Linked DNA regions of Caenorhabditis elegans. The protein of the gene in region 1 purifies or fractionates together with the protein of each later gene. This does not show direct contact. Each region holds a gene or a part of one and is shown in the gene's direction. Other genes may lie near its edges.

The links.
Region 2: the proteins of F49H6.17 (region 1) and nhr-37 fractionate together in Caenorhabditis elegans (co-fractionation; one large-scale study listed by BioGRID). This does not show direct contact.
Region 3: the proteins of F49H6.17 (region 1) and srw-16 fractionate together in Caenorhabditis elegans (co-fractionation; one large-scale study listed by BioGRID). This does not show direct contact.
Region 4: the proteins of F49H6.17 (region 1) and cal-8 fractionate together in Caenorhabditis elegans (co-fractionation; one large-scale study listed by BioGRID). This does not show direct contact.

The regions. Positions count from the first base shown.
Region 1 is NC_003283.11:17,015,497-17,022,081, forward strand, and holds F49H6.17 (Acyl-CoA thioesterase), read left to right. Parts: upstream 1-4,493; coding exon 4,494-4,730; downstream 4,731-6,585. Other genes in the region: srh-97 (Serpentine Receptor, class H), read left to right, coding at 1,591-1,945, 3,557-4,192, 4,237-4,304; F49H6.12 (MS Related Protein), read right to left, coding at 5,411-5,607, 5,836-5,965.
Region 2 is NC_003283.11:6,618,805-6,627,878, forward strand, and holds nhr-37 (Nuclear Hormone Receptor family), read left to right. Parts: upstream 1-3,389; 5' UTR 3,390-3,463; coding exon 3,464-3,633; intron 3,634-3,682; coding exon 3,683-3,741; intron 3,742-4,335; coding exon 4,336-4,397; intron 4,398-4,449; coding exon 4,450-4,644; exon of another isoform or gene 4,645-4,651; intron 4,652-4,697; coding exon 4,698-5,003; intron 5,004-5,050; coding exon 5,051-5,145; intron 5,146-5,391; coding exon 5,392-5,507; intron 5,508-5,554; coding exon 5,555-5,706; intron 5,707-5,754; coding exon 5,755-5,853; 3' UTR 5,854-5,972; downstream 5,973-9,074. Other genes in the region: ppt-1 (Palmitoyl-protein thioesterase 1), read right to left, coding at 5,973-6,170, 6,383-6,481, 6,745-6,835, 6,885-7,055, 7,115-7,352, 7,402-7,501.
Region 3 is NC_003283.11:15,270,493-15,278,718, reverse strand, and holds srw-16 (G-protein coupled receptors family 1 profile domain-containing protein), read left to right. Parts: upstream 1-3,861; coding exon 3,862-4,451; intron 4,452-4,664; coding exon 4,665-5,021; intron 5,022-5,067; coding exon 5,068-5,218; intron 5,219-5,264; coding exon 5,265-5,336; downstream 5,337-8,226. Other genes in the region: srw-17 (G-protein coupled receptors family 1 profile domain-containing protein), read left to right, coding at 1,819-2,408, 2,456-2,809, 2,920-3,070, 3,122-3,187; T10H4.4 (Phytanoyl-CoA hydroxylase-interacting protein-like C-terminal domain-containing protein), read left to right, coding at 6,356-6,452, 6,498-6,686, 6,733-6,879, 6,930-7,118, 7,250-7,390, 7,442-7,630, 7,872-8,226.
Region 4 is NC_003280.10:5,478,443-5,486,423, reverse strand, and holds cal-8 (EF-hand domain-containing protein), read left to right. Parts: upstream 1-4,382; 5' UTR 4,383-4,387; coding exon 4,388-4,477; intron 4,478-4,525; coding exon 4,526-4,601; intron 4,602-5,446; coding exon 5,447-5,541; intron 5,542-5,589; coding exon 5,590-5,737; intron 5,738-5,785; coding exon 5,786-5,814; 3' UTR 5,815-5,940; downstream 5,941-7,981. Other genes in the region: Putative zinc finger protein F56D1.1, read right to left, coding at 6,127-6,260, 6,314-6,888, 6,965-7,123, 7,170-7,270, 7,315-7,445, 7,494-7,561, 7,608-7,804.

The DNA.
Region 1 (6,585 bases):
AACATAGAAATTTCTTGGTCACTGCGGTCAATGATCAAACTGGATTAAAGGATGTGAAACGCTGTACTTCCCGTTGATAGTTTTGTTAAGTCAAATAGTGTTTTTGGAACGACCAAAAACAATTCCTAACTGGGCAAAGATAGTACTACCTAGCCACTTGCAGAACAAGCACTGTCACAGAACAACGATGGAATATTTGTTCTGAAAACTTCTTCGTTAGGTAAAATCATCGAACAGGACACCTACACTGTGTACGCATCAGCCATATTACCACCAGACCAAGTTCCATCGGGCTGGCACTCTAAGTAAGCTGTCGTTGATGTTGCCATAGGTGCAGGCTGTTTTGCTACCGACGCAGTGGGTGACTTAAACTTTCAAGTAATTTCTATGATTGGGAGAAAAACTTCTTACGTAAATGTTCAGAACTCCACACTTGTCATTTCCGGGAGCTGCACGACACGTAGCTGTCGCCACTGTGCACCCATCGGTGTTTGTGGAAGGTACCCTAAATGTGCAGAGTCTTAATGGTTTTGGGAGTAAATTTGATTTACGAATCAAAAATTGCATCAGCTTGTGCTGGTGACAAGATTGTTGAAATGTCGACACAGTTTACGCATGGCTAGAGAAGGATTTGTTTTATTTTGCTAGCAGCTGACACTTTGCGAGTTGAATTGCCAAATTTATTTTGAGAAAAAACTCATCATTGGTGGAGGTGGTGGCTCAGTTGGTGCATCAGTTGGAGCATCTGTTGGAGCATTTGTTGGAGCATCCGTTGGATGTGTGATTTCTCTTGGGGTTGTTACGGTTGGTTCTGTCGGTTGAACTGTTGGACCCACGGGAATTTCAGTCGGATCCACAGAAAATCCTACATCTTCCGGTGGAATCGTACGGATGCAAGCATCTAGGGAAGCTATCAATACAAAATAAGAAACAATTCTAAGACTAGACATAATATTAAAGTACAATAAAGAAAAGATTTATATACCCGTTTTTAAGCGAGTTTTTTTCCTTTATCCTTTATCATCCTCGCGGTGAATAATATTGCCTCAAAATTTATAGAGAATCAAAAAAATTGACGGATTGAGAATTGGATCATTTGATTTGATTTGATTTGATTTATTACGATTGGGATCGTGATGGAATAAAAGCAGTATGGTATAAAGACAGAAAAATAAATACACAGTACATAGGAAGAATAATCAAAAAGTTACGAATAAAGTACAAACAAGAAAAGCAATTATCACCGGCAAAAGTTGATTAATTGGAACATTAAAGTGAACATGATAATTACTATTTAAAAATTGAGTAAACGATTGAGTTCTTCGATTTTAGTTGATTGGCGTGAAATGTTTTCCCAATTTTATAATTGATGTCATTCTTTACAGCTGAAACAAGAGAAAACGCGTGTTTGCTGGGAAAGTGAATCATAGACAGGAGGGAAGTGAAATCAGGTCAACTCTGCATTTTAATTAAATTTGGTTTGCAATTATTCTTTTCAGCTGCCGGTTTTGGAACAAGGGCTTGTATTCTTATCAAATTACTGCTTCAAGATATCAAACGTATCAAATATTTGAGAAAAAATCTAACTCAATGTCTGTGCAGGATTATTATGCGACAACCTATTTGACGTGTAACGTCGAGTATAGTTTTTGGGCTTCATGGAAAGGAGTTGCCTATCCAACCCATGCCATGCAGCTAATTTCTTTCCCACTTCAAATTCTCGCATTCTACATAATCATTAAAAAAACGCCGACAGTAATGAAAAGTGTTTCATGGCCGTTGTTACTGAATCACTCACTTTGTACTGGGTTAGATATTGGGCTGTGCAGTGGAGGTACACCCTATGTTTTCCTCCCAGTTGCTGGCATTTTCGGACTGGGAACACTAAGTTGGTTCGGAATACCATTCACCATACAGCTGTTTGTTGGCCTTATAATAGGAAACGGTTAGTTTTATCATTTGATTAAACATGGGATAACTTGGAGGCTATGCCACGGCGTGTAAATTGGGACATCTGGCCTAGCGAAAAGACAAAAGTGAGAATCCTAGGCCATGGCCGCTGCAAAGTGCGCGAAATTCGAATTTAAATGTTTAATGCCATTGAACATCGATGAATGAGACATTATAATGGATCAAAACTACAAAAATATGCACAAAAATTCTTTTTAAAATGAAAAAATTACATTAAACACGATTATTTTCCTAAATAAAGGTAGAAATTTGATTTATTAGGCAATTATTAGGAAAATGCGTCAAAACTGGCACATTTTTGAACTTTTTTCAAAAACTAGATCCACAAATTTTCTGAAATTTCACCAGATTACTCAGTAAACTACTATAATCAAATTATGTGCGAAAAATTCATACCCACCGTCACAAGTTCCTATTGAATTTTTCTATTTAGCTCCGAAAACCACTAAAATTCGACAAAAATGGCACATTTTTGAACTTTTTTCAAAAACTAGGTCCACAAAGTTTTTGAAATTTCACCAGTTCACTTGGTAGACTATTTCAAACAAATTATGTGCATAAAAACCTTACCCACCGTCACAAGTTCACATTGAATTTTTCAATTTTAGCTCGGAAATTCACAAAAAATCAGTGAAATTGGCACCAATTTGAAATTTTTTCAAAAACTAGATTCACAAAGTTTTTGAAATTTCACCAATTGACTAAATGAAGGGTTTTAAACAATTTAAGTACATAAAATGTATACCCACCATCACAAGTTTACACTCAAAATTGCTGTTCATTAATGCAGCTTCAAACTGCCTTGTTTCGTTTTCTGCGTAGGTCACTTTTTTTGTATTTGAATTTAATGTAATTTTAGTGTTTCTTTTATTCTTTCTCAAAAAGATAATGCGTTTTTTGCTTGAATTCAAGGATATTTTCATATAAAACGAAACCGGGAAGTATTAATTGCTAAAATTTATGTGGACTACAGTAGTCAAGTCCGCAAACACCACGCGCGTTTTCATAATTGCGTACGTTTGTTTTTCAAGTTTTTCTCTAGGCCAGAGGTACCAATTTACACGCCGTGTATGCCTATTAGACATGAACCGCTGATTGGACCATCACCGGTTCAATGCGCATGACTTTTTAAGTTTCAATCATCTTCCAGGCTTAAAATAATTTCAGTCTAAAGAAACTCCTTTGATTCCAAACAGAGATATAATCAAAATAAAGAGACTGCATGGCGTATGTGCGCACAAATCCTCAAATTGAGGCACCGACCTTTTCGGATAATTTAGGGGTGGGCGCGGAAGTCGTGAGATGTCGGCGCCTGATATTGGTTTCGGTCCCGATTTCGGCATTTACCCGCTGATTTTCCGAAAAAAAAAAGTCGGGCTTGAGGTTTAGGATTTGTGCGTGCACGCCTCGCAGTTTCTATATTTCGAGTGTAAAAAACTGATGAAATTGTTTCATTTGCCAGATGACCCTCTATTTCATCGCTTTTGTGCCATCTTCGTTTTACCCATGTATTTCATAGTTTTGTAGTAAACAATAAAATTTTCAAACAATCATTGAACAAAAAACGTAAATATGTGTCCTTCAGGTGCCGTATGCTCTTATGTGTATCTTTTCGAAATCCGTAGCAGTTCCCTACCACAAAATCGGTTTAAAATAACTCGAAAGTCCACTCGACTCCTCTACCATGCAATAGTTTTTTTCTACAACTGCAGCTGTCTTCTTTTCTTTTTGACAAATCCTGCTGATCAAGAAGCTGCCAAACTTCATGCATTAACTCGTTACCCATGTCCCACAACGGAGTTTTTCGAATTTCCAGTTACCATACTACTTACTGATCAAAACGTTATCCAATTTATAAGCTTTATTTTCCTTCCATCAATGATTTTACAAACAGCTGGAAATATAATATTCCATGCTTTTTGCGCGGTTTACTATCTTTATATAGCTCCGTCGAAATCAGTTTCAAAAGAAACTCAGAAGAACCAAAAGGCATTTTTGATTGGTATCCTATTACAAACATGTATTCCATTGATGTTTATATCAGGGCCACTGATCATTTTAGCAATTGCTTATTCGTTCGGATATTACTCTCAAGAAATGATGAACTTATCAATAGTCTGCGCTGCATTTCACGGGGTTGCACAAAGTGTTGCAGTTATTACAGTGCACCATCACTACCGGAAAACTGCTAAAAAGATGATTTGGAAGATTATTTGCAAGGGTGAGTAACACACAAGTTCAAATTGGAACATCCGAAAATTTCAGAATCTAGGAGTACAGTTAGACTTGCGGAGGCATCGTCAAGATTGTTTCGGAGTAGAGACCTATCATGAAAACTTCACGCTGATTGTTTTTTTGTTAATAAAAATTGATCTTGTAGAAAACCAGAGAGCAACCGGAAACATAATGCGTTTTGACAATTACTACGCTAGTAGTTAAACTAGTGGTGACGCTAGTGATTAAATAATGTATTTATTCAATTTAAAACCATTCAAATCACCAATGTTAACATAACAGCCACAATGACAAAGAGAGCAATTGGGCCGGTGGCTGAATTGGGTGATGCCATTGTTGCGTTCAAGACATCGTTCTGCGGAAGATACTGTGGTGGAATGGCTCTTTTTATCACTTCAGCTGACTCTGATGGAATGACACCATTGACATCCCTGGGCTTTATTATTTCTGCTGGTGGTGCTGAAACTCCAATGGCAGATGTACGCTCTATCCTCTCGCCGACGGTTTTGGAGTTTGCGCAGTAGCTTCACGATTGGCCAAGATGACGAGGAAGCAGACAAAAAGAACTCCTCGCTGAGGATTCATTATTGCACTTTTGTGCAATGATGAAAATTCAAAAAGTTCTCTATATATAAGAATAAGATGAACTTTCTCAACAATCTTTGTACTTTGCAAAGGTCAAGTTTACGAGAAATTTGAAAAGTAAAAAAGTATTTGACTTTGTGAGAATGTGTGAAACTCTCCCAGCCCATTTAATGGCCTGTCAGCCTACATACGACAAAAGCCCAAATTATACATTCTCATGAGTATTGATTCAGAAGTTTTCTACATAATATTCATCTGGTACTACCTAGTTCTTTTACATTCTTATTGGCAAAAATCGAAACGAAATACCGTAGCATTTGGAATATTTGGATTTTTCATGCCAATTTTATGAGGTCAGGTAAGTAGTAATTTCCTGTGGTTCTTACTAGTGAAAAATTAATACAAATTGTAGTTAAGTTGCCATATACTAGTCAGTGTTTACCAATGTTTGATAATTTTAGCCAAAGTTCTGAAATCATGAATTTCAGCCGATTCTGTTAGACGATTTCTGCTTAATCTATTCAAATACCACTTTCTTGGGGGATATAATTTTAAGACAAGGATAAATTCCACACGGTGATACAAAAACGCTAGTGATTAAATAATGCATTTATTCGATTCAAAAACCAGTCAAATTAGCAACAATGACTGCCAAAATGGTGAGAAGAACAATTGGACCGGCGGCTGACTTGGGTGCTGCTGGCTCCGCTGTTGTGGCGATTTTTGGGGATTCCGTAGTTTTCAAACGTTCACCTACGGAACCTCCTCTGTCACCACTAAGAATTCTTACATCCGGTCCTCCATTTTGACCAGTAGCTTCACATTTTTCTCACAGATCGTCTTTGTCTGACCTTTAAAAACTATTCTCAAGCAAGAGTGGGTGAGTAGTACTTAAAGCTCATATCATAATTTTCAGCGCGGCGCAAAAACTTCAAAACCGCCGCCATTCAAGTTCTGTGCGTCTGCATGTATGCGTTTCTCTTATTGTCTTTGGGAAAACAAATATTATAGAGACGGCAGAGTATTCTCTTGAATGGTGCTTACATTGGCTTGCACCAACGGCAGATCCTCCTGTTCGGAATGCAACCACACTTCCTGCCGGTTGAGCAGTAGCTTCACGATTGGCCACAACGACAAGAAGACAGGCAAAGAGAACTCCTCGCTGAGAATTCATTGTTGCACTTTTGCACAATGATGAAAATATTCAAAAAGGTCCGTATTTAAGGTAAGTTTCATTACCTTTCTCAACTACCTTTGAACTTTTCAAAGTTCATATTTACGTTAAATAGTAAGCTTTTAATTGTCAGATCTTTTCAGGAACCGATGTTATTAATGAAAAGTGATACAAAAGTTATGATACTTGACACCTTTGACGCAGCGTGGCCAAGATGCAGATCAACAAGACTCCTAGAGCTTGTAGTTAGCCTTAAAGCAGCTGAAATTGTCCACACCTGTCAGCATGAAATTTGTCCACACCTGTCAGAAATAACTAAAACTCGGTGTTTGACCATGGTTTGCATTTTCAGGCCAAACTTCACGAACAAAGTTCTGAAAAATCAGTAGGAGGTTTTGCATACAAAACTAAATATTCAAGACATTTGGTCAATAAGACAAGTAAACATATTTGCTTGTTAGGACATCCTCAGAATGTGTTTCAATACTGCTCACTTCTGGAGGACTATAGAAGAACAAAACACTTTCAACACGATGATACAGTAACGCTGATGATTAAATAATGTATTTATTGGATTCACAAAACATTCAAACTGCCAATGTTAAAAATAACTGTTCATA
Region 2 (9,074 bases), about 10 Mb from region 1:
TATTCAAATTTTTAAATTTATGAAATTTTGCCAAAACATAAACTGCCATTTAAGTCATTTTCTGAATACAAACCCGAAATTTGAGGTTCAAAAATAGAACAATGTGTAACCAAACTCTTAAGCCTGCTTTTAATTATGCAGAACTTATCGACTTAGTTATTTTGGTGTAACTTTTGGCAATCGGCAATTTTGGAAATCGCCGCTTGTTTAGTTTTCCGTTACGTCTACTTGTGAATAGGCACAAAACTGACCTAGTTTGTCTCGGAAGCAGACAACATTTATCTGCATGAGAGAACTAGTGCAATCGTATAAAAAGTTTTCAAAAAAATTCGTATAGAAAATTAAGAGAAGCTTGGTTCAGATACATATTCTGCAAGTTTCAAACCTACTTACGATAAAAAATTTTCAAGCTTCTGTTACAACTTCTTCTTTATACATTTCTGCTGCAAACCTTTAATTCCTAAAATCTGACACAAATCCGACAAGTGCCCTCAAAATTCCATTCAAGTACTGGGGACGTAAGATATCAATCGTTGATCGTTAAGCGCAATAAAATCACATAAGACGATCGAGTCTAGTTTGAACGAAATTATTTTCATTTTCGTTAATTAGCAACGTACCGTAGTTCAAGCCAATCAGCTAAGTGGTAGCTTAATTGAAGACCGCCTTTCAAAGAATGTAAGGAATGGTTTATATAACAGTTGCAAAAACATTTTCTTTCGGCTTCATAAAAAATCAATGTATTATTGAAATAATTGGTGGAGTCAAAACAGATTAAAAATGTGACACACTGTTGTAGTTAGTAGTTTCATCTATAGGTTTTATTTCCGAAAAAAACACTATTATACACCAAGAAGTATATTTTTCATTGTTGATAATTTTCATCAAACATAATGGAGATATATATCAAACCGGAAAGTTGAAAGTAAAACTCTAAACATGCTACTAGAATGGAATAATGTTTATGGGCATCAAAAGTTAGAGTGAACTTGAGAATTTTATTTGTGAGTGATGTTAGGGTGATTTGGTTGGCCTGTTAGCCAAATTGCAGGAAACATAAGGCACAAACGCAGTGAGTAATCTACCGTAAATTAGACAACATCTATTTGGGTTGCAGCAGAGATTTTGAGGCTATGCAAGAAAGGATGCTTGGGAATTATTGGAGTTGAATCTTGTAAAAATACTATTTCCACGTTTAGTAATGCATCTTATTGCTCAACCCTGACAATCTTTTGTTTTGCAAAATGATTTGCCACTGACAAAACATGTATGATTTTTCTTCAAAAGTTTTGTAGTTAATTAAATTTAAATATGGTAAAGTGGATGGGGTGCAAGAATATAATGGAATCGTCAAAACCGTGAAATTAAATTGCAATATATTGAAGTAATGGAAATAGAGCAAAGGTTCAGTATCATTCAGTATCATTTGTACATGCCATATGTTCCCTATTATACTTGCACATCCTTGCTGCACTTTGGCAGTTAATATCTTGGTTTCGTTTGCTTTTGTCAGAAAACTGTAAACTGACAAAATACGTGCTAAATAATCTTCTGTATTTCACTAACAGTATATTTGTGATTAATTTTAGTACAACCGAGATATGAGCCGTCAAAGTAAAGCAATTGGGGTACAAATCCAGTAGGGAAAATATGGTAGACTTGTTAACTTGAAATTAGTCTTCAGTTTATGTACTATAGGACTAAACTTATTTGTATTTATTTTTTTTTAACTTGAGGGAATAGTTTTCCTTGACATGCATACTTAATAAAGCGGTGAATTGAATTTATATGAATAACATTGTTGTACTAGTTGTTACTTTGATGCTACTTTTGCAAATTGACAAAATATCATGATATCTCGGAAAATATGCGAACTACATATTTGGCAAATTTATTACTCATCGGGTAAGAAAATCGGAGAAAACATATCTGATGTCTATCAACTGATCTAAATGAATAGAAAAATGATTGTTCCCAATTGAATCAGTCTAGATCAGGAACTTTTGAAACATATATACAGTTATATGCCCTAAAAATGAACAACTTTCCCCGTCAACAGACACAATATTTTTCTCTTTTTCTGGTCTCCATGTCCTATTTCATGAGTCAAGTGTTGTAGAGGGCGACGATAAGACATCGGGCCCAAACGCATTAACGAATCATCTTGCGGGTCGGGAGGCGGGATCTGTCAAAAGTTTGCAGCGTTTGGCAAAGGTTCGAGGCTGGCAATGAAGATGCAAGGATGGTGGACGGCTACCTGCAGATGACAGTCTATCGGAGACGCAGACTAATCAGATGACATTAGTCTTTTGAAAGTTTTGCGGAAGTCCAATTCGGCGAACACAGGTCGCGTGTGAATCGATGCTCGTAGACCGAGTAGCAATTGACAGCTAGAGATTGACAATTTATGAAGAGACGCAGACAGATGTGAACATAGAAACGACAAAAGACATACATGTTTCGAATTAGATGGACAAGATCGGTTGCCTCTATATAAAGTAGCTCAACGTATTTTATCCAAAATTCTAAATCGGTCACTATCAATCTAGCAATTCTAAAATGTTTTTGTTTCTGATTTTCCGCAATTCCATCGAAGTTACAATTTTGACTTAAAATTTTCTATCACAAATCATGTACCAATGTGTGCACTTTTAAAAAAATTGTACAATGTATGTAGCAGTAATCAGAAGGGGATTGTTTTCCTATAAAATTCAAGAAAACCCAAAATTCTCACATTCCGAAAATCTTTTTTTTCTGACTTTTTTCCTTTTTGGTTCATCGAACATAAAAACATTTTGAAACAAATTTTTGAGGTGGTCTTTTCAAGTGGAAAGTAAATTCAAAATCTTTTATCATCAGATCGAATATGAAATTTCTGAGTTTTCTATTTTAAGAACTTTCAGTATCTATAGTATCCCTAGGCACATTTTTAAAACGTTTCATACAACTCCAGCTAAAGTTTTCTGAAAATACGGTTAGCCAAATTCACCACTTCATCCTGATAATTGTCATTATGCTTTTCCTTCCACTACAACTAGACTATCTCTTTTCGGAAGGGGGTGAGATTTTAATTGTTTGTCTGAGATTCCTACGTCTTCGACCAGCGTAACGATCAGAGAACATGCCGACATGACGTCTTCCCCCAGCCGAAAATGTCTCTCTTCTGATCTTGCCTTACATGTGAAGAAAAGTACCAAAAAATTGCTGTGATAACTTTGTGATTTGAGGCTGGGTTTTCAGTCTCAAAATTTGACATGTAGGTACGTTCATTTTTCCTTCAAGTTTCCCTCTTTTTTTTTCTCAAATATAAACCCTTTTCGGTGGTCACTTGATCTTTTCCTCTCCTCTCTACGTTTTTCATTTCTCTAATAACATATCTGGTAGAGATCTCTTAGAATGACAACACCCAATTTGCATATTACAAAATGATGATCACACTTTTTTTCCTTCTCAGAATCTAAAAATGGTACCTGACAAGTCATGCTTGGTTTGCAAAAAAGCTTCAAATGGAATGCATTTCGGTGCACTCACCTGCCGAGCGTGCGCCGCATTCTTTCGAAGGGCTACTGTACTGAAATTACAGTATAAATGTAAGCAGGGGAATTCAAAATGCAATATTGATGGTCGTGGAAGGTGAGTTACTATAGTCTTCAAAATCAGAAAATTCACGTTTTGTTTATAGATATGTCTGCCGGCAGTGTCGTCTGACAAAGTGCAAAGCAATCGGGATGAATGAAGAGAGTATGTTTTTTTTTCCAAAAAAATAAAAACTTGCAAGATTTTCAAGTGCATATCGTGCACATCAAAAAATTTTACATCAAAAGTTTTTGTGAAAAATTGTTGCGAAAATTGGTTTGACAAATTTTCAAAAACTTCATGTGAATAGGTTTTGTGGAATACGCAGAAAAATAATTTTTTCTGAAAAATAAAAAATCCTAACAAAATTTCTAGATCATCTCTATGTTTGATTTTTACTCTTTAGGCTTAGAAAGGATTTTTTCCGAAGTCCGAAAATTACAAAAATATTCCAAAGGTTTTTTTTATAGCTTAAATAATTTCAAAATGAGGGCATTAAATACAAAAGTGCCCTATTTCCTTTTTTTACATAATGTTGAATTTTGAAAATTGCTAAAAATCACCACTCATTTTTGCTAGTGGTGAAATAACTAAATCCTTTCCAAAACACAAATAAAATTTCAATTACTGTCAAAAATTTTGCTGCCATTCTTTTGGAATTTAACCAAAAGCGTTTTTTTCTGCAAATTTTACAGAGTCCAATTATTTTTCTCTTCTTTTTTTCTCTTCTTTTTCTAGTAAAATATACTCATTTTTCAGAAGTTCAATTGGACTATGACCCAACGTACTCGTTTCGCGGTTTGATGGAGGATAGTGGAAGTGTGAGTTTTGTTTTTTAAATTAAAAACAATTATTTTATTTACTACATTTCAGGACGAATTCTCTACGCCAAATGGAAGCCCAGCTCAATCTGATTACAGCCCGACCAACTTGAGCCGGAAGAACTCGGTGGAGTCACCTGGAATTGATCCGAACTTTTTGTTCACCTTCTCGCCAAAAACACCGGATAAGCCGAACATGGTTATCAGTTTTAATGACTTGGTGAAGAAAATTGAAACGTCATTTTCGGTAAGTTGAAGCGAAAAACATTGAAAGTGAAAATTTTGTTATTTTATGTTCAGCATAAAACAAAAGGCGACGATTGTGAACTGACTACTTTGACGTCTGCATTGAAAAAGTTTAGGAAAAATCAAAAAGCTCAAAGTCAAATCTCTTTTCTTGACAAAGTCGAGCTGAAATCTGCTATTGATTGGCTCAATGATCGAATCTATATGTACTCTTGTTGGTTTTCCTCTTCAAAATCTTTAATGTCTCTACCCATGGATCAAAAAATGCAGCTCTTCCGATCTTCTTGGAATGTCGTTAGAACATTTGAGCGCCTAGAAATGTCTGTCAAGATTTTTGAAGAAGGAGTCATTCGAGGAGGAGTGAGAATAGTTTTTAATTATTTTTAAAAATATCAACTGTTTTTCAGTATATACTTATCAATGATGATCTCGCAATGAAATTGGAATCAACTCATATTGACTTTGCCTCGATAACTGATCTCACGAATCAATATTTCAACAAGTGAGTTTTCTGTTTCAAAAACTTTGAAATGCCCACAATTCGCTGATTGAAATTTGTCAATGTTCTGAAAAGCCTACTCAAAGTTGCGTTGGTTTTAGGATCACATTTTGATACAGCATTTTCTTTACTATAAAATTAATTGAAATACTGAAAATTCAACAAAACAATTTTTGCCGCTATGTCGAGAAAGATATAATGATGAAAAATCTTTGAACATTTTTATATTTGTATTTTTGTAATTTTCAGACTATTCGAACCCTTCCTACACCGTTACATAGATGAAGTTGCAAGGCCACTTCTTGATCTCAAGCCAACTACGGAAGAAGTCGTTTTTTGTATGGTTCACCTTATTGGACTTGAAGGTAAAAAAAAAAAACATCAATCAAATTTTTATTAACTTTAATTTTAGAAGGTGATCTTTCTCATGAAACACGAGAAGCTTGCGAACAAATGCGAGCAGAAATTGCTGACCAAATGCACGTTTATTATACAAATCGGACGGATATCAAAATGTATTCTCATCGGCTTCTGATTCTTATGAAACTGGTCAAATCCATGAAGGTTTGCCAAATTTTTTTTTAAGTTTTCTGATTTTCCCCCTATTTTTAGAGAATCTCTCGTGAGAAATCAAAGATCAAGGAGCTCTTCTGGCTTTTTGACATCTTTCATGCCGAAATCTCGGAGCCGTATTTTTTCGAGATGTTTTAGAAAATGATGGGAACCCAAATCAAGAAAATGCTCACACAACCAGTCATGATAATTTCATAATTCATTTTTACGTACGAGTTTTACAATACGAGTTGTTTCTTTTTGAAAATCAAACAAGTTCACATAAAATATTTTTTGATAATATCGTTGACAAGCACACTTCTTGGAATTTGCAAGTGATCTCCATCCACGTCCATAAAATGGATTCGTCCACTCTCATGAAGCTTCTTCAATCCAATACGATCCTCTTTGTACAGGTCGGTTTCGTTCATTGGGAGAATTGTGTCAATATCACCGTCTTTGTAGAACCCGAACCACTGGAATAAATTATTGAGACTTTATAAAATATTTCAGCGTGAGAACCGTGACAGGTGGTACAAAATGTCTGTTGCCTGTGTGGCTCTTTGTACCCATTAGAATGAGAATACTCGGGAAAACTCCGGCCTGCATTAACAAGCTTTTGGCGACCCTCGCCTATAGGCGACTATAGTCTACTTTCGGAAACTGCAAAACAAAAAAAACCACTCACAGATGAATCCTTTGGTACAACCATATGATCTTGATTGAATTTCACCAGAACCAGGTTTTTGAGACTCAATAAGTTGCGTTTGTAAGTCGGGTTGTTATTCTGAAACAAAAATACTTTTTTTTTCAATTATTTTAATGATTACGATTTTCTAACGATTTTGAAATTCAAATGTCAACCGGCAGGAATAATTTTTAGAAAAGAAAATAAAGCACCACCGTTCATTAAACTAATCCCGGCGCATCTTTTTACAGAAAAAGTTATAATTTTCAATCACCAAAAACAGTTTTTTCAAAACAAAAAAGGACCAAAATGTACAGAAATTATTAATTAATACTTCAAAAAAATGTTTTAAAAATCCTTACGTTTTCGTTATTGATATCAGCCAAGAAAATAGAACGTTTTTTATACTCTTCGACTTGATTTGGGTCGTGCCAGTACTGGGCTTGAACAACTCTAGAAAACTGTTAAAAATAATGAAATGAAAGACAAAAAATACTCGTACCGTTTTTGTACAAATGGAAGATAAGCTCCCAAGTCAATGAGACGTCTCACGCCATTGCACATAATATTGTCACCAATGCAGTACGGGGCTCCAAAAACTCCTTGATGTTGACCACCGACTGACACCAAATTCTTCATTGGTGGATTTGGGCATCTTTGGGCAACCGCTCTCCTGAAAAATTGCCGTTCTACAAAATTTTTTAAAATTTAAATTCAATAAACGCGATTTACAAAAACTGTGCTCCTTGTGAGAATCCGATCGCATTATATCCATTCTTTAGTTCAGGATCGTTCTTAATTTTGATACATGCCATATAGACAAGTTCATTGGTATTTGCATAAAATCCATGCTCAATGTCTTTTGTAATACTAGATCCCAATTGAAGACTGTGAACGTAAACTCCAGGAATTTGCTCCTCGAATAGTTTTTTCACAGATCCCATAGACAACGGATTGCAACAACAGTCACCTAAAAATCATAATGTTCGCACTTTTTCAGTAATTAAGTTACAACTAACCCATTCCATGCCACATGACCACTGGAACCTGCTTTGTAGCATTCCGGAATTCTGCTGTAGTTATGGCCAGTAGGCAAAGTAGAAGGGGAAAATATCTCATTCTTCAAGAAAACGAAGAAATGATTAGAGTGGGGTCAAATGAGAATGGACAAAGAGGTCGGCTGTTTGGCTCAACAACTGATAAGATAAGATTAATTGGCTCATTCGGGTTTATTGATTGATCATGCTAGAAGGCAAAACAATTGATAGAGTTTTTCGATTGAATTAATAATGAAGTTTGAAATCCTGAAAATAAAACCAGAATACATGACAATTTTTAGCTTTATAATTTGCTTGGCTGGCTTGAATCGAATAATTGATTGAGTTTTGAATAACCTCGCAAAGAGTTACTAGGCCGTTGTCTATGATTTCAAATCATAACAATGATCCAAATAAACATACGCAGGCAATTCAACAAGTAAATTGGATGTTCAACGAAAACTACGACCCCAAAAGCCTTTTTCATGTTCTAACTTCAGTCTGTAATTTTCTGTTTTAGATCTGTACCCACATGGCTCTACTGAATGTCGTCGATTCTGTTGGATAAAAAGAAACATTTTGAACTAAAAAGTGTATGATGAACCATTCTCGAGCCACACCAATTAATCTATTTGACAACTTACACTTTATTTCGGGCTGGAAAACATATTTTTAACTTTTAAATAATAATTTGTTAACACCCGAATTGATTTGGTCGAGATCATTGAATACATTTTTGCTAATTTCACATGGAAAGATTGTTGGATAAACTGCGACGAGAACCTGGCATGACGCATTTTTAATCGACCGTTAGCCATATGCGCACTGTGAGTTGTGCACATTATCCCTCACGGTCCCATGGCCCCATCTACAATTTCGTCTACAATGTTGCGAGATTTTTGAAGTATACATATGTACATCGCAAATTACCTGTTTCACACCTTTTTTTTGCCGTAAATTCATTGCTTCAAATAACAATGCTTTCATAGAACAATCTGTATTTGCCTCTTGAAAAATAATAAATTTTGCCATTACATGTATTCTCCGTTTTTTCCTTTTTCCTCCACATTTTCTATTGAAATACACAATTAGACGTTCCCGGAAAACACGCATGCAACCAACTTGTAATCGAATCATTTTTTCCTCATTCCTCTCTATTCTCCAACCATTTCACCTACCACGATGCGAGGAGAGTTGAATTTTAATTTTTCTATTTATTATTTGCTGTTGTTGGAATAATTTCCATCGCTATTCGCTCATTTTGTTTCCTTTCTTGTTCGCTCATATTCCTCTCCCTCAAAATCGTCATTTCGAATTCGCACAAGCATTTTCTTTCTATGTTCTCGCGCTCAAATACGTTGTAGCAGAAAAACATATGAAGCAAGACAAAATCATGTGATAATCAGTGACTGCTTGAGAGCACATTGGTATCCACTAGCAACACACTTTCTTCCATTAATCTATCTTCTTCTACTTTTGTTTCAATTGTGCTTAAGAATACAATTCGATGTATAAAATGAGCAGAAATGTGGTGTACACAAGTCACAAAACTTGTTATTTTGCTCAATAGTAACCAAACAACCTGTGATTTCATTAGGTGATGGTAAGGTTTCAATTAGAATGCGGTTGGATTGACGTGCGATGGTTAATTGCTT
Region 3 (8,226 bases), 1.7 Mb from region 1:
TGATTTTTACACCGCCGCCATACATAGATCTTGGATCACATCAGTCCCATTTTCTTTCGACACAGTATGCTTGCAAGCTGACTTTCTAAGTGTCAGTTTTGCTGATCTTGTCAACATACTCATGCAGATGGCACGTCATGTTACAATTTGGCTGGCGATGATGATGGAATCGATAAGAACGTTATCAGTTTATTTTCCAATGAGCATTTGGATCCAGAAGCTAACAAAACCAAAAACGACTATATTCATAATCTTTTTTGTGTTTTTGTGTTGGACACTGTTTTATTCATCTGAGTACTATTCGGTGACAATTCGATGGTACCCGGATATTTTGGATAAAAGGTGAAATCAACATGTGCATTTACATGTACAGTGCCGGACAAACGTATATGTTCGAAAATTAAAAATAACCTTTTGAAAAATTTGCCTTTTTTAGATGCTTTTCCTATGAAGAGCATGTCAACAAAACCAACTACGTTTTGGTAACTAATACAAGTAGGCTTTCATTTTCAAGTCACCGTAATCAACTGGAGCCATATTTACGCTCAACTCCAGCCATTTTATATCCTATTCTCACAATTAGCCTCCTTATTCAACTAAGAAGCATTCAGATTAAACGACAAAAAGTGAATAAGAATTCAAAAAATTCAAAAAAAAAAAAATGACTGTGTTTGTAATAATTTCTGAGGGTCTTCCATCCATTGTTAACTATGCCCAGTTGAAGTATATTGCATCTGAGCCTGAAGATGACGATGAGATGATTTTTGTATTGTAAGTCTTGTTAAAAGTTTAGTTGGAGCAACATCACAAATCATCAACTCTAATTTTTGTTCCAGAGGAACTTTGGGAATTGCACAAGTTTTCTGTCTAAACTTGCGCTCGTTGAATGGAAGTTCTCATGCTTTTATATGTTTCGCTATGTCCTCGCAGTATAGGGATACTGTGAAGGAAATTTTATGTATCACGCAGCAGAAGAAAGACGAAGTGAGACAAAGGAAAACGAATTTCAGTCTGAGAATGAATGATTTCTTTCAGAAAATATTTTTCGTTTCAACAACTTCGGGCAGCTTGAAGGATAAAAAGAAGAAATTAACAAAGTCTGTCTGAAATTTATAGAGATGTGTTGCTGATGTACGTAACTATTTTGTACTGTATTTTTTAAGAATAAATACATTTAGTGGAAAACTATAGCAGAATGAGCCTACAGTATTCCTAGCGCTCCTTTATTAAAAAATGTTTAATATAATAAGCGTGCAATGCAGTGGATCAGTAATATGTATATCTACACAAGGTTCTGCAAGGTTTCGGCTCTTATAACTGAGAGCCTAAACGATATAAAAACACATAGACCAGCAAATCAACGAACACGTACAAAATTGAAATATGCATATTTTAAGAATAATTAAAGCATAAAAAAAGGGAGACAATTTTTTTTCGATTTCCCACTGGCTCTATTCCACCTACGGAAATGGCGACAACGTTGTTCCTGAAAATCCCGCCTTGCATCTTTTGATTATAATTGCTTCCGGCTTTCGTTCAGCATACATATAATTATTCAACTATACCACTGAACACCGTTGGAATCAGAATAACATGAATTACGTGATTACTCACCTGTCCCTGGAAAATAGCCTATCGAGAAAAGGCAATCAGCCGCCGTCCCACATAATCACACCTATCGTTATTCCCAGACAATAAGCTGTTAAGTGTTGAGCTTTTAATGCTCTTATCACAAGTTGTTATTCGTTGGAATTTCCCTATAAATGCAGATATTTTTAATAGTATCTTTTCATTTTCACAGTTCTCTGAGAAAATATAATGTCCGACGATGAAGAATTTTATTCTGAAGATTGTGCAGGTGAAAACCTATTTACAAGTTTGTCCTGTGGGGATATCTATCGAGCCCTGGGTATAATACTGTCGGACACAAATGTTTTTATGCAATTCTTCACAGTTTTCATTAACATTTTACATTTGATAGTTCTATTTCAAAAAGAGCTACGAACCGGTGCAATTTATATTTTGATGATCGGAATTTGTTTGGCAGATATTATCGGTTATTTACTTGATTTTTTCAACGTTGCCTACGAAAGAACGTGGATTAGCACAATTCCGTTTTACACCAACGTTTATTGCTTACGTTATGATTTGGTTCGAGTTAGTTTTGTAGATTTTGTCAGTATATTTGTGCAAATGGCACGACCAGTTGCGGTTTGGCTGGCAATGATGATGGCGTTGATCAGAACTTTGTCTGTATTTTTTCCCATGAGCATTTGGATTCAGAAGCTTGCGAAAGCAAAAACTGCAATTTTCATGAGTGTAGTAGTGTTCACATTCTGGATACTGTGGTATTCATCCCAATATTTTACTATGACATTACGCTGGTACCCAGATGTCTTGAGTAAGGCGTGAGTTGGCTTTCGAACTTGCACATCTGAAAGTTCATTCATTTCAGTTGCACTGATTACGAAGAACATCGCAACTTGACCCACTACGTTCTGGTAGTTCCAAAAGCTAGCTTCAGCCTAGTCTTTAAGCGTGAAAAACTGGAACCTTTCATTCGCTTTATTCCAGCCATCTTATATCCAATCTTAACAATCACATTACTAGTTCAACTGAGAATTATAAAGAAAAAACGAGAAAGTATGAATAAGAACTTGTTGAATGATCGATCAGATAATACAACAAAGCTCATTCTTTTTATGACTTTATTCTTTATGATATCGGAGGGCTTGGAAGGTATCGGAGATTATATCCTTCAAAAAATTCTAGCTACCCCTAACTATCAAGATTCAATGGTCGACGTAATGTAAGTTTTATATATATTCTTGTGTAATTATCTGCAAAACAGTCCGCATGGGATTGCTGGAAATTTTTTGCTGAAAATGACGTCATGCGTCGTAGCTGAAACTTTTTCAGATCAGCGCTTGGAGTGGCTCAATATTTTTATACAAATCTCCGCACATTAAATGGAATATCTCATGCATTCATATGTTTTGCAATGTCCTCGCAGTATAGGGACACAGTGAAGAGAATGCTCTGTTCCTCGAAAAAGCAGCGACGAGGACAGGTAGATTAAAGATAAATATTTCGATTTAGAAAAAAACTTCTTTTATTTCAGAATATACTGGTCATCTCAACAGTGTCGGTTAGCAGCTCACACAATTCCAGTAGATCAAGGACATGAACGATTTTAATTTTTGCTATATAATACTATGTATTTCTTAGTTTTTTAATTGTTTCAAATTTCTTACAGAAATAACACGTTTATACTCGGTATACTTGGCATTTTTGAAATTATTTTGTCAGTTCGACCGATTTACAGTAGTCTGTTTTGTATCGTAAAAAATTCATTAGAGTTATCGGAACCTAGACTGGTTCAAAAAGCTATTTCGAATCTCACAAGAATGGGTATTTCGAATTACGAGTAATTTGTGATTATGCTTTTAAAAAAGTAGCCGTCATGTGGAATTTTTTTAAAACCCTTGCCCATTGACACTTTACCGTCGCAAAAAAATGCTAGGATGCCTCAAAGCAACTGACATTATTAGTACTAGAAACTTCTTGGCGCAGGAAAAACTACCTAATAGCATCGGGAAAACTGAAATTGCTTTGAATGTTACCCACTTTTTCACGTTGCCAATAAATACGTGATTACTCAACTCCAAATAAAAGTTCAAGGACAAGAAAGCAATTTGGAATTCACGCCAACAATTAATCCTAGACAGCATGTTATTAAGCATTGAGCTTTTAATGGTCATATCCCGAGTTACACTTTTGCATAACATTTTTTTTCAAATTTCCATATCTTGAAGTCAGTCCTTTAACTTTGACTACCTTTTTTGCTTCGATTTGAATACAATGTACTATGATGAAGAATTTTATTCTGAAGATTGTGAATTTACAAACCTTTATGACAATTTTCACTGTGCTGATATATATAAGAAAATAAGCATGGTACTTTCTGATATTAACATTTGCCTGCAGTTCTTTACTGTACTCATCAACATTTTACATTTAATTGTTTTGCTTCAAAAAGAGCTGCGATCTGGTGCAATTTATATATTGATGATTGGAATTTCTGTGGCTGATATCCTTGGTTACTCACTTGATTTTTACAATGTCGGCTTTGAAAGAATGTGGTTTGAATCAATTCCTTTTTATAAGAATACTAATTGCTTACGAGGTGACTTTGTGCAAGTCACCTCCGTTAATATTCTCAACATATTCGTGCAAATGGCACGGCCCACGGCGGTTTGGCTAGCGATGATGATGGCGTTAATAAGAACACTGTCAGTATTTTTTCCGATGAGCAATTGGATCCAGAAGCTTGCAAAAGCTAAGACTGCAATTTTAATAGTATTAATTATGTTTACATTTTGGATACTTTATTATTCGTCACCGTACTTCGAGATGGAATTTCGATGGTATCCGGATATTTTGATTAAGTCGTGAGTTGGATTGATTTGTTTTGTTTGAAAATAGTTCCAGCCATAATTTAATGATATAACAACGGTCGGTCCTTTCCAAGAAGTGGGCAACTCATACCTCCTTGTTTAGTCCTTGTCCTTTTCTTTTTTAGGAGGTATATGAGATTGTAGTAAAATTTTTTTGTTTATTTATTTAATTGATAAATTTATCAAAAGTAGCATTTTTCTTTTCAGTTGCTATAATTACAAAGAACACCTCAATCACACCTACTACGTATTGGTAGTTTCTAGAGCAAAAGACAGAAATATGGATAAGTTTAATAAAATAGATCTCATCTTTCGGTTCGCTTCAGTTATTTTATACCCAACTCTAACTATCACTCTACTTTTGCAATTGAGAACAATCAAGAAAAAAAGACAGAATATGAATAAAAACGCGTTGAATGACCAATCGTATAAAACAAACAAGATGATTCTCATGATGACTATATTTTTCATGACTTCCGAGGGTCTTCCTGTCATTGGATCATATATTCTTGAAAACTTCATCTTGTCTAAACTAATTTACGAAGAGTCGATGACTGATATTGTGTTAGTTTTGTTGAAAATTTATATCGGTAGCCTAATTTATTTCCAGATCACTACTTGGACTTTCACAATATGTTTTCTGGAATCTTCGTACAATGAATGGAATTTCTCATGCTTTCGTATGTTTTGCAATGTCCTCACAGTATAGAGAAACTGTGAAGAAAATGTTATGTATCACGAAAAAGCAAGATAGAGGACAAGTGGGTCTCAAACAGAATACCATATTTTTCAACAATTTTTATTCAGAATATATTGGTTATTTCGACTGCGTCTGTTAGCTCGCAGAGTTCAAAAAGGACAAGGATGAAAAATATTTAAACGTTTTTGCTAGAGTTCTATTTTGAAATATAAACTTTAAGATACTTACCTATTAGTTTTATTATACCATTTTTCTTACCTCGAATCTAGATGAATGAAATAAACTAGCTCTGAATTTCTTGATTTTGTGGCTTGAAAAAACTTGGCCTTCAGTATTTCAGAAAAATGGCGAGAAATTCGAAAGTTCAACTTACAAATTTGTTGACGCGGATTTCCAATGAAATGTTGCTATAGAAAATCTGAACGCCCAAAACCCTTTTAGCCAGTTCAGGAAGTTCTGCCTATGCCCCGGGTATAAGGTATTTGGTTTTTGAATCAATTTTTTTGCAAAATTCGGATAACACTCCATCTGTTTTTTTGTCTCACAATAAAATTGTTGATGGTCTTTGGAACTTGGCTGCTAAGCAACAACAGATTTGGCCATGATATTTGTTTATTCTTGTTTCACACCCACTCTCCTTCTTTGCTGAAAAATTAATAAATGTTTCGTTTTATAGCTCAGAAGAGTTAAATTTTCAAATTAATTCCATGATTTATAATTCTTGTTTTTTTTTTCAAATATCTGAGCAACAAAATTTTGGGGCTGCATAGGAGCCTCCGTCATCAAAGAAGGTTTTCGTAATTTTTGGTGAAAATATGTCCCTTTTGCAAATTGCTACCTTCAAACAACAAAAAATTGATCAACAATTGAACTTTTGAATGTTTTTCAAAATTTCCTCATGGTTAAAAGGTTCAATGTTAATACCACACTATACAAAGTGAACAAGAGTGAGGCAATGACCAACGTTTTTCTATTTTTTTTTTGAAGCGAATCGATTTTTTTGCCGAAATGTGGAGAATTTTCTTTTAGTTGATTACAGTGTTTGCACTAATTTTTTTCAAAAAAAAGAAGATACCAAAATTAAATGTTTTACACATTCAGCTCGTCATTGGAATTAATAACACCAATTTTTAGAAATTTATTCCAAATTTTTTAAAATCACGTTATTCCAGACCCGTGTACTTCAATTAAGCGTAAAATGAAAATAAAACCGGCTAAAGCTCCACTTTTACCAGTTACCTGTTCAGTTTATTCTAAGCGAATTGTGCTGGAATGGAAAAAGCCAACGAGAAGAAGTTTGAAATTTGAAATCAACAGGTGCATAAGGTCAACATTTTCAGATGACATCGAATTCATTGTCACTTACAAAAAGATCACGGATATGGAACCAGTCACTATTAAAAAACCGTCAACGGCTGTTAGCTGTCAGCTTCAAGTATCTGCTCAGGAACTTTACAATGTTGAAATTCTGTGTGTGATGCTAAAAACCCAAAAATTACTTTTAAAATGGTCAAAGGAGATTCAGTCAGGTAGAAGAGAAAATCTGTATATGTCAGTTAAATTTTACTATTTCAGAAAGTATTTCCAACTCTGGAAAACTATCTGAGGTAACAAGCTACATTATCAATAACAACCAGCCCATCAAATGTGCACCACTTCCGGTCAATTTTTCCATCTCCTTGCGGGAAATCAAGTTTCATTGGAATAATAACATGGCACAAAGTGAACCTTATAACATTCAATTTTAAAAACACATAAGAATAGTTTTTCAGACAATACACATTTTGTCATATTTGCAACAAATGTAAAAACCAAAACAAAAAGAACGTTTTCAAGACGGTTCAATGAGAAAACCTTTCGACTTGTCGTACATCCGGGGCAGCGTTATCACGTTGAGATTCATTGTACATCGATGGAAGATGGTAGATTAATTGCAAGCTGGAATAAGCTGATTCAAGCAGGTTAGTAAAAATTGAGAATGTTCAGTTCAAAATTAACCTTAAGATCCGTACTATTTTTTTGAAAATGCTCCTTCGAAATCATTGAATTACCAGTGAACATTACATTTCTATTCACTTTTCGAGATTTTCAGAAAAAGATGGCAATGCAGGACAAAAGGAACATAATAACAATATTAATGAGAAGCAGGCCACTGAAATTGATAAGTTTCTGGTGAATTTTTCAGTTTCCTCGAGAGAAATATTATTGCACTGGAACTATCAAACCTCAGAGAGTAAGATTGACAAACTTCACAACAAAGGTATAATTTGTTTTTTTTTTGCAGAAAACATTTATTTCGTTGTCATTTCAACAAATGTAAAGACGCAAGATACAAAAAAACTAAAACGGGACTTTGATTCACAGAACTGCAGTATTTCGGTGATACCGGGACAGCTTTATTCCGTGGAGATTCAATGTAATTCAACGAACAGTGACACATTGATTAAGAATTGGAAAAGCGTGATTCGGGCAGGTTAGTTATAGAGGGCAGAGATCTGACTTTTCTTAGTAAAACTCGAAGAAGCATGTATACATATTCCTGTAGTATGTATATACGCAGCAATTGGTTCATTTTCATAATTTTGCCAATTTTTAGTTTGTGTTTTTTTAAACACTTTTATCAGAGCATTTTTTAAATGTATCTTATGTTTCACGGATCGATGAAGCAAAATATGCGCAAAGTCTGTAATGCACTTTTTGTTGTATTTTTACAGAATTCAACCGAATGGAATCTTATGAGCTCCTTCACAAGTGCTTATCCTTTTTAAAATACGAAGAAATATTCAAACATTCGATGCAGATAATATCCACAGTTTATAGATGTAAACCTGAAGCGTATTGGAACACAATTCGCATAGAACACAACAACCTCATGAAAAAATATGTGAAAGATAACAATGGTCAACCAGGCAATCTCATCAATGGAAAAATCCACGGACTTTTCTTTACCGCTCAGATGTGCCGTGGGAAACCGCCAGATTCTTCTCCGTTCGGAAACATGCGAATGGACCTCAATTGTCTGGAAATTTTAAACCCCGAAAAGCACAACTTCTATTTTGCGGACTTCTA
Region 4 (7,981 bases), on another chromosome or scaffold:
GATTTTGAGTATTGTTTAAATTTTTTAAATTTTTTAAAGTCAAATTCGTTTTGATTTAAAAATCTGGAAAACTTCTAAAAACATATTTATTTGCCTTTATATGAACTTTTAAAAAAATGAGGCAGGCACGGGAGTTGCAACTTTGCCTGCTTATCATCTTAAATGTTTTCTACTTTTCCATTTTTTTCTGTGTCCAAAATATTCTGTTCTTTGGAAAATTCCCAGAACAAGGAAGAGCTTTCTTGAATAACGATGTAGTTGAACAATGAAAAACCAAACTTTAGAACATAATGTATTCTTCCAATAGTTCAACTACACCCACTTATGGATATTCTGATTTCTGAATAATTGCTGTTCTAAATTATTTAAACTACTCCTACATTCTCCATTTCTTTTTCGAAATTCCATCAAATGTAATCCTCTCTTTTTTCGTATTCTTTCCATCATTGTTTTCAGTGTCATTTGTCACAATCAAGCCTATCTTTCGTTTTAATCCATCTCCTTTTCTTCACTCCTTTTCCTCATTTCTTTGTAGTTTGATGGAAAGGAAGAGATTTGCGTGACTCCTACAATTATTATTATTAAAAAACTAAAGCTTGTCGTTCTTGGAATTATTTTATAAAGTTCCGGTAGAGGACGCCGGAAACCTATTTACTTGTCAGAATAATGAGTTTGGGAAATGATATCTAACTTTGGTTAAGAGCTGCCTTATGCCGCGGAGTTGCCTAGGCCAAGGACTACAATCGGCCTATGATAAACCTAGTTATAAGCTTAGGAGTTGTCTTTACCGCGGATTTGCCTAGGACTAGCATAGGACTAGCCTATACCTGACATTAACCTAGACCGGGTCTTAAATGAGCCTAGTCATATGCCTGTCTCAAACGTTTCGACTAAAAGTTCATTGATCATATCCGTCTGAAACTTTCAACCAATTAATATTAACAATCTATGCTGTCTGTCCTTTTTCCTGTTTCCTCTACCAATTTCCTTCCTATTTTTCTTCTCTTCATCCACCTCCACATTCTCTTGTTTTATTTCAGCTGTCAACCCAATTATGTCCTTTTTTCACCTACTTTTCCGATTCCCACCGTGACTTTTTTCTGATTCTTCGCCTTTTCTTCGCTTCTTTACTTTCTAATTTTCGATCCCTCATAGTCCAAAAAACGCACCAAAAAAGTTCACGACCGTTGACCAGAAATGAGAAGCGAGCTGAGCTAAAAAAAGGAGATATGATGCCCTCGTAAAATTCAATTTGTTTGTGAAAACTTTCGGACAAACCTTCCAATTCTTATTCCTTTTTTCTTGCGATCTTCAAAAAACTCTGAGAAAAGTTAAAAGACCGGATGCTCAAAATGATTCAAATCTGACATTTGAAGTGGGGTTTCAAAATGAGAAAATGTACATCTACTTTGAAATTTGTCATTTTGTAATATTTTTCTAAGAAATTCAAATTGACATGCATTTTTCAACATTTTAATTTCTAAAAATAAGCACTTGTATGACTGGTATATCCGAAAAGAAAAATGATAGAAACTCGCAGATGATTTTTTGTCGCAATAATAAGAGGCCCGATTAGATCTGACTTTTAGAAGACAGGCACGTTTTCAGGCCTTGTGCTCCTTCCTTCTATCTACGCATGTACCTGAGCCTAAGCCTAAGTCTAAGCTTACGCTTTAAGCCAAAAATCTGGAAATCCCAGAAGATCAAAAAAGTGTTCCAAGAAGAAATCAAATTTGATTTGGCGACATCTCTGTCAACTATTCTCGTTACCAGAAATAAACAAAACACGATAATTGACTGCACTGAAAGAGAAAAGAAAGATATATCGAAAATAATTTAGTCTGTGGGGATTCTGTCTAGAGCTCCAAGTTGGTGTTGTTTCTCAATGTGATTTATTAGTACCACAGATGATTTTAATGTATTTTTGTGACCCTTTCTTCATTTAAAGTTTTCAAATATGAGAAATATTTGGCTACCTTTTATAAAATGGAAAGACTAATTTCTTATTCCGAACTATCGTTTCATTCTCGTTCCATTGTTTAAAGATTTCACAGTTTTACCCGACTCTAGTTTGTTTTCTTTTTTTACCAGTTTTCAGATTCTGAGAGATCTGATTTATTTTCAACACCCTTTTGCATTTACAAATACTTTTTTGGATTGAAAGTGATGTAGATCACCAATGTGCAAGTCGAGACAAGTCTGGTGGTCAATGGAACCCTTGAATTTTTGATTAATCCAAGCGGTAACTCCACTCTTTTCTGAGCCAAAAAATGACTTTTAGAAGGAAAAATAAGGCAGAATGTCAATCAAATGAAGTACATGTTCCACTCATTTCCCATACTCATTCCTCGTTTCCAAAACTTTTTTGTCCCAGCAAAAACCCCATTATTTGGATGCATTCACCCATAATGTCTGCTAAAGTTTTAGTTTAGATGGGTTCAGGCTTGTATCTATGAAATGACGTGGATTCTTTTGGAAAATTTATTGAAAAGCTGAAGCAGACGCCTGTATTATAAAATTATATTCTAACTAATTGGAAACTTTCGAACGCTCTTCTGTGCCTTTAAAAAATACAACACTAGCAGACAGTGAACAAGATCGGATATTTGCGCTGTGCTAGAAAGGTGCTAGAGTCAGCTCACAATGAACATTTGACAAATTTCGTAGCAACTCTGGCCTGCAGCCATACTTGAAACTCACAAAGTAAGTTCAAAATTTTTGAAAAATGGCAACTTACCAAAACTTCCGATGTAAAAAAAAATTGGAACAATTATTATGTTTTTTTCATTTAAAATCTATGTCCTGGGTAAAGCTGAACCGAATCTTTCTTTTATTTACAAGTCTATATTTACCCAGATGCGGATCATATTTACCCATTCATTGGAACAGAACACTATTTCATTTTCTATCTTTTCTCCCGCTTTTATTTTCATTCTCATCGTTTCCATAAAGATTCCTTCAATGTTTATTATTAAAGAATCACGAGATTTTTTCTTTTTATTTTCTCATTTTGTTCTCACCAATATTTGCATTTTCTTATTTTGTATGTGCCTTTTTCTCAATACGAATTGGTTTTTTTTGCAAGATATATGCAACATGGAGCAATAAGATTCTCATGAGCTCCACTGAAATCGAGCTAATTTCGAAGAGCAACGACTAAGATGAAGTGGATAAGACTAAGAGAATAGAGATTTGTAGGCAAAAAATAAATTGCAGAACATATTCAATATTTTGGCGTTTGTAAACCATTTTTCAAAAATATTTTGGCATTTGAAATTTTTCTTACATACCGTACTGTCTCTTAGACTTGCACCTCTATCGCTTTAACTTGATAGCTCTCCGTTCTCTTCGATTTTATAAAATATTGTCAACTTACAAAGTATGTGCAAAATATTTTTCTACAAATTTTCAGTTACAATTTTCCTGATAAAACTTGAGAAAACCGAGATATAAACCGATAAAGTGAAGCAAGTCTGATAGGGAAATACGGCAATTTCCACTGGTAATTTTTGCAATTGTAAGAGTTCAAAAAAGGGTTTTCTAATTCCTATAATTACATTGAACTAATAAAATTGTAGGAATATCATATAAGTTTTTGGAAACCCCATACGGCGTGCAAGGGACGCCTCTTTCCCGCCTCATCACATTGTCAGTGACCTTCTATGTATATATTTTTGTGCCATTTTTCATAGTATCTTCATTTTTCAAATATAGAGGGCGTTTACCGGGCAAATGGCAAAAAATGGGCGTTTCTGGAATATCGGAAATAAATGGTATACTGTAGTTATAAGTATAAATATGTGTACAATCCAAGTCCTCCTTCTTCAACATTTTATTATTATAAAACCTTTTTTTGTTATTGAGATTTCCCCTATCAGACATTTTAATCTTTGAAATTTCGAGTTATTTATCCATTTTCTCACAATCACAAACTTTCACAACTTTTGATTCCTAAGTCTTATGACAAAAATCATTGGGGCGTGTCTAAAAGATTTTGAAAACTGGGCGTGGCTTTGGAGTCCAAAAAGATGGTGTTTTGGTGTCCCAATAAACCCCCGCAAAACTCAACAAGAACACTTTCCTTCTCATGACTTTTCCCTCTTTGTTTGCATTCTTCCATCATTTTTTTGAGTCTCATCATCATTTCAATTCAAAAGTGCTCAAAGTTCAGGTGCTCAGTGAAACTTTGCGGGGCTCACAGGTCTCCAATTCCAATTTCCGCATAAATTTCATGTCATTTTCATCGTCGTCGTCTTCATTCAGTTGTCACTCATATACATTTATTTATTCATTAATTCATTCCGTCATTCATTCGTGCATCTCCTTTTTTTATCATTTATTTTTCACTTGTTCCCCTCGTTTTCTACTGAACATTATTTCAGCTAAAATGGACTCACTGAAAGAAGCTGAAATTCGTGAAGTATTTCGAGAGTTTGATAAAAATGGAGATGGAAGAATTACAAGACAAGAGTTGGAGGTTTGTTGTTATAATTTGTGAATTTTCGGACAAATATAAGTTTTACAGGTTGCTCTTCTTCAATTGGGAGAAAAAGCGAGCAATTCGAAGATTGAGACAATGATTGAGCAAGCTGATTTAGATGGTACGATCAAACTTCTATTCATCCTATTTTCCGTATATACTGACCATATTCTTGAATACATTCTAGTTCTTGCCAACAAAAAGTGGTATTTTCTTAAAATCTAATTTGAAACAATTGAGATTTTTTGTAAATCAAATATAGCATTTTCGCAACAAAAAACTGGATTTCAAAATCAGGTCCTGGCACCAGCGAAGCTTCTGCTACCGTACTCGTGATCTCTTGTGTTGTAATTCCCTCTTGATATTTGACGATTTTTCTTTATAATTTCACAATTAACAAGAGTTGAAAATGAAACACATGTTGGGGAAAAATGTGAAATTGCAAAATATCTTAAAGTTGTGAGCCTAGCTTTTTCAGTTACCGTACTCGCGACATACTTTACTTCGCAATTTCTATTGAAGAATTTTTAATAATTTCTCAAAAAATATATGAGCTCACATCAAGGGCTTTAATGCAAAAAAGAGTCTTTGGCTACTGTAGCGAAATACAGTATTCTCTCTATTTCTAGTGTACTAACAAGATTTCCGCATGAATAAGCTTCCACACCACTATAACTTCAAAAATTTCAAACAGCTGGTACATTTTGTGTTCAAAAATAGAACTAACGCGTGTGATTTCCGGAAATTTCCAACTTTCCCGTATTTTTACCAGAAAAAAAAATGAAAAGTACTGAGTGCACGATAACAGGAAGCAGAATATGTAGGTGGAGATGATGATGAATTGAAGCGGAATGCAACTTTTTTACGCTTTAGAACTTTTTGACGGACGAAACCTAACGTGTCTATGGATAATTTAAACTCATGGTGTGTTTTGAGTATTGGGAAGAAAAAGTTGAATACTTTCAGGAAATGGATGTATTGATATAGATGAGTTTTTGAATGTACTCCGACGACAAATCTGTGATCCGAAAGAAGAACGAGAATTGAGAGATGTTTTTAATGTGAGCACATTGATTTTGCATCTAACTAATAAACCTGTTTTGTTTCAGGTGTTCGATAAAAATGGAGACGGCGTGATTTCCATCGATGATTTAATTTTTGTTATGTGCCAATTGGGAGAGAAGTTAACTGAAACTGAAGCGAAAGAAATGATAAAACAAGGAGATCTAGATCATGACGGAATGATCGATTTTCAAGGTTGGAATTGATTTAATCTATATTATCTATATTTTGTTGATATTACAGAGTTCGTCAATATCATTAAGGGCCAATAATCAAAAGAATCAAAAACTATCTCATCAATGCTTTTCCATTCCTTCGCACAGCTGATCTACATCTCATTTTTCTATCGTTTAATTTTTGTGTACATATTTATAATTATTGATTAAAAATTAAAACAACAACATTTTATTTAATACAATAACAAAAACAAGTAGTATACTTCGAACAATTGAAAGATCATCATGAAACTCAATAGACTAAACTCTACCGTTGGTTAATTTTTTACCGGTGTGATGTATGGTTGTAAAACTTGATTGAAACAATTGTATATTCTATTTTCTATTCTATTATATTAATGGCCAAATTCAACATCCAAATGTAGCCACGCGTGCCGTAAGATCCTTGATACTTGTTTGATGATATTTTGATAGATGAACGGCGAATCGATCTCGTGCGTGAAACTTTTGATTGCATGTATGACAGGAATATGGTTTGATACCTAAACATTAATTATTTTTTCAGATATTAAACTTTTAGATTGTAAGTATTTACCATCATGAACATTAAAGTGATCGTGAAGTGCCTGTTCTGTTCGAAAAGTTTTTCCACAAGTAGTCTCATCACCATCTTTTGACTTTCGATCGCATTTGTACTGTTCTTGGTGTTTTGGTCCCGTGGATTTAACTACTTTCTGCGAATTTTCCGAATGATATACTCTGACATGCTTTCGAAGATTGTCTCTTAATGTAAATGTTTTAAGGCATATTTCGCAGCTGAAGTCTCCATGTACTCGACTTCTACTGTGCTTTCTTATTTTATTCGGAGGTTCAGTTGTCCCGAATTCAATTTCCTCATCGATATCGTTTATATTTTCCGATAAATCATTAGTAACTTCAGACACAGAATCACGTTCAAATTGACTAGAAGTTCCTGTGATTGTTGATAGTGTGGTTTCAGTGTTAGCATCATTCCATTCATCATTTTGAAGTGCTGGTGTCGATTGTGAAGAAGATGGTATATTTTGAATCAAGGATGAACATGTCGATAGATGCTCGCTTACACTACCGGATCCCAAATAAACACCACATCCTAAAGTGCATAGAGCTGGCTCACGTTCTTCATGAATTCTGAAATAGGTAAAATTATTCAAAAAACCGTTTTCATTTAAAAAAAATAATTTATAATCGAATTTTTACAACCTACCTTTGAACATGATCCTCAAGATCTTTCTGTTGTTGTTCAGGATCATCATCTGAAACATCAGGTTTGTATTCACATAGAGGGCACTTGTTGAAAGATAGTTTAGATCGAGTTTGTTCGGTAGACAATGGAATAGACGTGTGATATTCTTTGATGTGAGCTCTGAAATTGTATTAAAATGTATTTTTTATTAATCGATGAAACCCACTTGAGCCGATTTTTTGCTACTTTGATACAACAGCCAGTAATTGTACACGGAATACCATCAACATGGTTTTGTTCGAAGTGACGGCGAATGAATGCTGGTTTCTGAAATTCCAATATCAGAAGATGAACAACTCGATAATTCACACCTCATTAGTGTACGAGCACTGTGGACACTTATGAGAAGCCTTCGAATGATGTAGTTTGTGATGTGCTCTCAATTCACCATATGTGCCAAATTTGGTAATTGTCGAGCATTCAAGGCATTGGTAACGATTAGCTGAAAAAATAATTATCTAAATTACTAAATAAGAATGCTGAAACATACAATCATGAATTTTTATATGTTCTCTCAGCTTGTTGGGATATCGAAACTTTTTCTCACAGAACGGACATCTGTAAAAATGTTCGCATTTCATTTATATAAAAATATTCCACATACGGATGGAACTCGTCTTTCGTTTTTCCTCTTTTTCGTTTTCTGCTCGCAATTTCTTCTTTTTCAACTTCTTCAACTTCTTCAATGCATACTTTCGAATTGCTTCTCTCACTGTTGCCATCTTCTTCTCGGTATTCATCATCAGAGTCTTCATCAGAAGACGATGACGATGAAGATGGTGGTTCAAACGAAGATATCATCTGAATTTTGGATTTTGGATAACAGTAAAAATAATTTTTCATAGATAGACTAGGTTATAAGACCTGTTTTAATTAGAGAAAAATAAAGAAAACAATTAAGGAAATGTTAAACATTTATAGATAGCGTAATTTTTAAATCCTAGAACAAATTATCAAATATATAAAAATCAAATAATG